Linked DNA regions of Oryzias latipes. The protein of the gene in region 2 purifies or fractionates together with the protein of the main gene of each other region. This does not show direct contact. Links are inferred from orthologs where the notes say so. Each region holds a gene or a part of one and is shown on either strand. Other genes may lie near its edges.

Region 1 (3,654 bases), on a different chromosome or scaffold from region 2:
GTTTTTGTTTGTTTTTGGCAGAAGCGGGACCAGAAGTCTGAGCAGACTAACGGCCTGCCGGAAAAGTCTCTGTCTAAATGCTCTTCGTCTCCCGCTGTGGAGCTGGAGCTCAGTGCTGGCCCACTGCGGCTTGACGGACTTCCCCCAGGAGCTGGTGCTGCGGGCCCCGGGTTGAGGGTGGCCCAGGTCCGCCTTCTGGACCGTAAGACTTGCAGCAGGCCTGGCACTCCTACATCAAACACCTCATCTACCCCGACTCTCTCCGAGGATCAGAATGATGGGGAGGACGAGACGGTCGAGCCTGAGGAGGATTTCCAGGGAGCAGAGTTTGAAGCTGCCCCTGTATTAGCCCCAACGCCGCGCCTCCTCAAGAGGCCCTTCCAGCTCCTAATAGCTGCTGCTATGGAGCGAAATCCCACGCAGTTTCAGTTGCCAAGTGAGCTCACTTGCACCACTGCTCTTCCAGGTGAGTCATAACATCACAGTTAGATCTGACACTTGCTTGTCTGATTGCTGAAAGAACTAATGATTGCATCTGATTGCTTAACCAAAATGTCATTGTTCAGACGTATTACATTTGTCTGAAGCAATCTGTGTTATCCAGGGGTCTCCAGCACTTGTCTGACTAAAGTTTCTTCCATTTATGGCATCTTTTCAACAACAAACAAATATTTTCTGAATTGAATGTCGTGCCTTTTTGAACACAATGGTGACACCAAACTACTTTAAAGTGGTACAGTGTTCCTGGAAGGCCTGTAGTTCTTTAGTGTAGCCAGTAGATGGAGCCATAACAGAATTTATTTGAGATTAAATTAGTGTTCTCTTGACATGTATTTGTTTGGGTTTAAGTGTGTATGTGCGCGTGCGTACGTGCGTGTGCATAAAATACAACAGTTTAGAACGACATGCAGGTCCTAAGCTCCACGTGGGGCCAAAGGCTCCCGATGTTCAGTGGAACAGCAGTTTACAAAGCAGCTATGGTGAAAGCAGCAACGGCTGCAGAATACTTTAAAAACGACGATCACTCATTTTTTACAGAAATTGTAAATCATAATTATTTTTCTTTCTTGTTTGTGTTTCTGATCAAATGAAAATGAACTGTTATTGAAAAAAACCCAATGAGAAGCCAGAAAAGGTGGTTATTATGGGACATGGCTGGCTGGATGATGATGATGATGTCCATTATCACTTCATGTCTAATAACTTTGACTGTTAAATATGGACAAACGTCAGTATCTAACCAGCGATGTCCCATAGTACCTACCTTTTCCAATTTCTCATTCCGTTTCGTTTTTCTCACTTTTTTTTGTTTGTTTTTTGGTTTTCTGGAAATTACTTTAGTTTTCTCCGTTTTTCTATTTTCCGTTTCTGGAATTTTGTTTTGCTTTCTAAAATGTAAAGCTGTTTTCTTTAATATTTGTTTTTTGTGGTTGTGATCTTTCAAATGTTTTTGCATCCAGTGAATTAGTTGAAGTGACTTGCACTTCAGGGCCACCGTACAGATCGACGGCTTCGGTCTTCAGTCAACATCTTCTTACATTACTTTTCACCTTTCAAACTGCTTTCCAGGCAGCAGTAAACGGAGGAGAAAAGAGGAGCTTCTGGGAAAGCCCTTCCGGAGGCCTCAACACGAGCTGGATACTAACGGCCTCGTCCCTCTTCCGGTGAAAGTCTGCTTTTTATGCAACAAGTGAGTTTCCAGTTCATGTGAGGACAAAACTGCTCTGGGTTGTTTGTACTAATAGTGCTGTATTTTCTGCCATAGGAGTTGCAGGTTAGCTCCACTGATCCAGTGTGATTATTGCCCACTTCTCTTTCATATGGACTGCCTTGACCCCCCACTTACAGGCTTACCTGCTGGCAGGTGGATGTGTCCAAATCATGTTGAGAATATAGCGGTAAGATTCCCCGGTCTCTTTCCTTTTGTCTCTAAATAGGATTTGGACAAATTTAATGATCAAATGAGATTGAAGGGGCCTTTATCATGCAAAACCAACTTTTTAAGTGTATTAAAATGTTCACTCCTCACAAAAAACACTTTGATCCAGTCACGCATTCGGGAGTTTTCATCTAAAATCCTGCTCTCTGAGCACCAGCCTCTCCCGGTCCACGGAAACGAGCAGCTTCTCACATTGTGACATCACAACGTGAAGAACCGCCCTTTCCAGGAAGAGTCTGCGCTGCCAGCACCACCCCCAGGCTAACACACACACACACACACACACACACACACTGACCGGCTAAATACTTTCCAGTCATCTGCTTTATATGAACATCCATCTTTGCAAAAGTTCCCGTGTTCTCTTTCGTTCTTTAGTGTGCCAAAGGGAATATATTATTATATAGTTTATTCTGAAAAGCATGATAAAGGCCCTTTAAGCCTATAGTAAACGTATATCAATTTAATATGAAGTCTTCTGTTTACTAAACAGCTCAATCAGAGGAGCCTGAGTCTGTCCAGGCGCTGTCAGCTCTTTGACCAATTCCAGGACAGGATGTCCCAACATGCAGTCAAGTTGGACTTCCTTCGTAGAATCCATCGGCAGAACGCACCAAATCGACGCGCTTTTTCCCAGCTGATCAAGAAAACCATCAAGGTAAGTGAGAGTCGATGGGAACGATTGGAGATTCCCAAACGTGGAGCTTTCTTTTCTTTGGACCGATATTTTCCTACACACAATATCCAACATTTGTTTTTCATTTAAAAAAATTTTTTTAACTCACAGCAGCTCACAAAAACTTGTAAGTCAGGATTTTACTAAAAACGAATTCAGAAAGAGGAAAGCGGTTCAGGCCCAGAGAGAAAAAATACTTACGTTTTTGCTCAACTTAAAGCAATTGTTGGAGGCACGAATAAAGGAATTCATTTTGTACCTCAACTTTTTCTGGTGTTGTAGTCTGGTCAATTAAAAGCATTGGGACTCGTCAACTGTCGTGATTGGCTAGCATACAAAGCCCAAAAGTTTAAAAAATAAACGGAATGGAGGCGGTAACTTTGACGTCGAGTGGTGTTCTTGAACAAAAAGATGACTAGCAAACCTGTGATGCCTCTTTGTTCCTGCTGTTCACCTTTAGTTAACTGGGAGGTCTTTTAAAGTTGTCTGCTAGGAACTGTGAGGAAACATTTATGCTTACATGTCACTTTCCAGTAGTGAGGAGAAAAGAGGAGCATTCATCTTTTTGGTGTAAATGTAAAGGTAAACTGTCAAAACACTGTTGCCTTTACAGTCATAGCAGAACTATAGACTTGTAAACATGTAACGTGATGCTCATGAATGTTTTTTGTCAACAAATTCATACTAAAAATGTGTCAGTGTTGTTATGCTAAACAATGTAAGTGCACGGACCGTACCATCGTCATGGACCAAGCATTGACATCCTATGTTGGCTCTTAATGTGAGCGTTTTTCTTACTCTGTCAAAGCTTAGTAATAAAATGACAAATGATGGGTTTTTTTTGTACCAGGTCCCCGATGCCATTAAGTCGCAGTACCAGAATCCTCCTCCCATGCTGCTCCCTGCAGGGATGCGACAGTTGGAACTGGTTTGCAGCAGCATTTCTGATCACGCATCTTCAGATCAGCTAGCAACAGAAGCTGAGCAGCAAGAGGTACGCCTCACCACTGGGCCTGTCATTGGTCCTGCTTTGTTTCTT
Region 2 (3,654 bases):
AAACAGGGATAAAAGTAAACAAACTAACAAAAGTGAACCCAAGTAAAAGTCAGCAAAAAGCCCTCCAACATAAAATTAAGGTGACATTTTTGTCCAAGGCTCAGTCTGTATTTATACATTTAAAAATCGACTTTTTTTAGAAGGGAATTGAAAAAAGGGAATTTTTGTTGTTTTCTTGGCCATAATTTCTGCATATTAGCAGGAATTCATCAGCAGAGACTGCTTAGAGCTCAGGGGGGCTTGTGGTCCCAGTTCAGGAAAATATTTGAATGAGGAAATACTCAGAAATGCAATTTTAAGCTTAATTTTAAATACATATATATCCTCCAACATAAGAAAAATGTAAAAAACAAACACAATTTTCTCTGGAGTCTTTAAGAATCAGTCCATAAAAACCTTCCTTAATATTAAACTGGTCCTCGCTTGGAAACCAATCCCTTAGGAATCAAAGTAGGAATTAGATTAAAATTATTCTTATGATACTTGATATTATTGAGGTATTTTGGCTGGTTCTGAAAAAAATCAGTCTGTATCATTTCACAGCAAAAACCTTTAATCTGAGACAAATCTTTTTTAAATCAGTGGCAGTAGTTTTATAAATAAAGCCTCAATACTTTAACCCAACATGTCAACTGGCCTGATAAACCAGTCTGTATTTGTGGTGACGTGTTTGGTTTGTTCCTCAGATCTGATTGAGCTCAAGGTTTTGCTGGAGGACGCGGAGGACAGGAAGTATCCGGAGAACGCTTCGTTCCGCCGCCTGAAGGAGATCGTGAAGGAGGCGGAGACGTGCTCCTCCGTGGCTCAGCTGTTACTCAGCCGCAAGCAGAGGCACAGGTCTGTTACCGCGGGAACAGAAGCTCACGAGAAAGTTTGAAAACAACTTTTGATGCCTTGGTTTTCCTGCTCGCTTTCTCCAGCAGCCGTCTCCGCTCAGAGAGCAGCCGGAATCGCACCAAACTGACGGTGGACGAGCTCAAAGCCTTTGTGGACCAACTGTTCAAGCTGCCGTGTGTCATCAGCCAGGCGCGACAAGTCAAAGTTAGGCTCTTCCTTCAGTATTCTGTTTTACTCTGTGATCCTGCGATCCATTTCCTGTGATCGGTTTTTGTGCCATCAGGAGCTGCTGGAGAACGTGGAGGACTTCCACGAGCGAGCCCAGGTGGCTCTGTCGGAGGAGATGCCGGATTCTTCCAAGCTGCAGGCGCTGTTGGACCTGGGCAGTGGGCTGGATGTGGAGCTGCCGGAGCTGCCCCGAATCAAGCAGCAGCTGCAGCAAGCCCGCTGGCTCGACCAGGTGAGGCCGCCTCCGTCGGATGTGGCTCTCGCCGCTCGTTTCTACTCACAAATACATAAATGTGTGGAGGAAGAGTTCTGGAGTGGAAACCAAATAAATCACTTTGTTGTTTTTTTTACGTTAGTTTGTTTCACTTCAAGTTGTGCCTTTATAGTTCTAATGGATCCCAAGCTTAAAGTCCCGATCTGATCGTCAGTTTCAGAAGCATTCCCAGTCTTCTTTTTGATTGATTGATTATGCTGTCATGTAGCCAAAATCCTGATTTACAACGATTTGATTAAGAAAATATAAAGAAATTCAACTTAAAGCTTTATTTTCTTTGCATATGTCCTCCATCATGAGAAAAACACCTGAACATGTTAGAAATACCACAAACACCAGTTTGATTGGAGTGGGTCTTCAGAGCTTTGTTTTTCTGTCTCAAATCTGTTTTTCTTTTCTTAAATCGCAGGTCCACGTCACTCTGGCTGAGCCCCAGCGGGTCACGCTGGAGCTGATGAAGAGGCTGATAGACTCTGGGGTCGGCCTCGCTCCTCACCACGCGGTGGAGAAGGCCATGGCCGAGCTGCAGGAGGTCCTCACGGTGTCGGAGAGGTGGGAGGATAAGGCCCGCGCCTGTCTGCAGGCCAGGTAAACAGCCAGAACCGACTCAGGCCACATTTCCAAGCTTTTATCGTGAAAGGCAACTATGATAGAAAATCTTTGTCAAACGAGTTTAAAAAAAATGTATCAGAGCAAGAATTGGTATTGTGACAAATATGATGACTGAGTAATAGCTGTTTACAGTCTCAACAGAATATAGTCTATGGGATTCTGGCTTCTTGGAGACGGCGGGTACTTCCTGTTTAGAATTTGAGAGGGGAGGGGTCACCCAGTCCAGTTCTTATATAAAGTCAATGGTTCAAATGCATTAAAGTGTTGATTTTGAGGGGGGGGATACAGGTTTTGTCTCCTGCTTTTATTAAAAATCAACAAGTTGGATAGTTTCTGACTGATGGCAACATAAAGCCAAAAAAAAACATATGATTATAAAAAAAAATAATATTTTGGTTAACAGAATGTAAGCCTTTATAGTCGCTCTGAACTTCAAAATAACATCCTGGCCCCTCTGTCTGTCCTCTTGGAAACTCAGACCTCGCCACAGCATGGCCACCCTGGAGAGCATCGTGGTGGAGGCCAGGAACATCCCGGCGTATCTCCCCAACATTTTAGCCCTGCGAGACGCTCTGCAGAAGGCCAAGGAGTGGACGGCTAAGGTGGAAGCCATTCACTCTGGGAGCAGCTTCGCCTACCTGGAGCAGCTGGAGAACCTGCTGGCCAGGGGTCGCTCCATCCCCGTCCGTCTGGACCCGCTGGCTCAGGTGGAGTCTCAGGTGGCTGCGGCCCGAGCCTGGAGAGAGAGGACGGCTCGCACCTTCCTGAAGAAGAACTCCACCTACACTCTGATTCAGGCGAGCAGCTTCATGTTCTTGAAATAAAAAAAAGTCACAGAAATAAGAAGAGATTTTTGCCTCTAGCATGCAAATCCAGGATCACTATATAATCTAGAATTGTTTCTTTTAGGTTCTCAGTCCTCGAGTGGATATCGGGATATACGGCAACAGCAAGAGCAAGAGGAAGCGAGTGAAGGAGCTGATGGAGAAGGAGAGAGGAGGCTTCGATCCTGACGCTCTCAGCGACCTGGAGGAAAGCCTCGAAGAAGTGCGCGAGCCGTCCACCGTCGTGGCGGCTTTCAAAGCCAAAGAACAGAAGGAAGTGGAGGCCATCCACTCCCTCCGGGCCGCCAACTTAGCAAAGATGGCGATGGCGGACCGCATCGAGGAGGTCAAGTTCTGCCTGTGTCGCAAGACGGCCAGCGGCTTCATGCTGCAGTGTGAGCTTTGTAAAGACTGGTTCCACGGAGCGTGTGTGCCCCTGCCCAAGACGGGAACCCCAAAAAAAGTGGGCGTGTCTTGGCAGAGCAACACCAAGGAGTCAAAATTCCTGTGCCCGCTGTGTCAGCGCTCAAGGAGACCCAGACTAGAGACCATCCTGTCCCTGCTGGTTTCACTACAGAAGCTGCCAGTGCGCCTCCCAGAGGGAGAGGCGCTGCAGTGTCTGACTGAGAGGGCGATGAGCTGGCAGGTCAAAACCTAAACATTTGCCGTCTTTAATTTGTATAGTTTTTCTTTTTTTTTTTTTGAAAGCTCGTTTTCCTCTTTCAGGATCGAGCGCGCCAATCTCTGGCTACAGAGGAGCTGTCCTCGGCGCTGGCGAAGTTGTCCGTCCTCAGCCAGCGGATGGTGGAGCAGGCAGCGCGCGAAAAAACGGAGAAGATCATCAACGCCGAGCTGCAAAAAGCTGCCGCCAACCCAGAC

The links.
Region 1: the proteins of kdm5a (region 2) and phf12 purify together in Homo sapiens (affinity purification with mass spectrometry; 3 studies listed by BioGRID and IntAct, with this or other methods). This does not show direct contact. The link is inferred for Oryzias latipes from reciprocal best matches to the Homo sapiens genes KDM5A and PHF12.

Annotation. Positions count from the first base shown.
Region 1 is NC_019871.2:27,109,578-27,113,231, reverse strand, and holds part of phf12 (PHD finger protein 12), read left to right. Parts: intron 1-21; coding exon 22-466; intron 467-1,569; coding exon 1,570-1,690; intron 1,691-1,765; coding exon 1,766-1,898; intron 1,899-2,432; coding exon 2,433-2,597; intron 2,598-3,465; coding exon 3,466-3,609; intron 3,610-3,654.
Region 2 is NC_019881.2:6,890,426-6,894,079, forward strand, and holds part of kdm5a (lysine-specific demethylase 5A), read left to right. Parts: intron 1-686; coding exon 687-837; intron 838-920; coding exon 921-1,041; intron 1,042-1,120; coding exon 1,121-1,297; intron 1,298-1,748; coding exon 1,749-1,927; intron 1,928-2,429; coding exon 2,430-2,748; intron 2,749-2,860; coding exon 2,861-3,421; intron 3,422-3,501; coding exon 3,502-3,654. UniProt on the Homo sapiens protein: Histone demethylase that specifically demethylates 'Lys-4' of histone H3, thereby playing a central role in histone code. Does not demethylate histone H3 'Lys-9', H3 'Lys-27', H3 'Lys-36', H3 'Lys-79' or H4 'Lys-20'.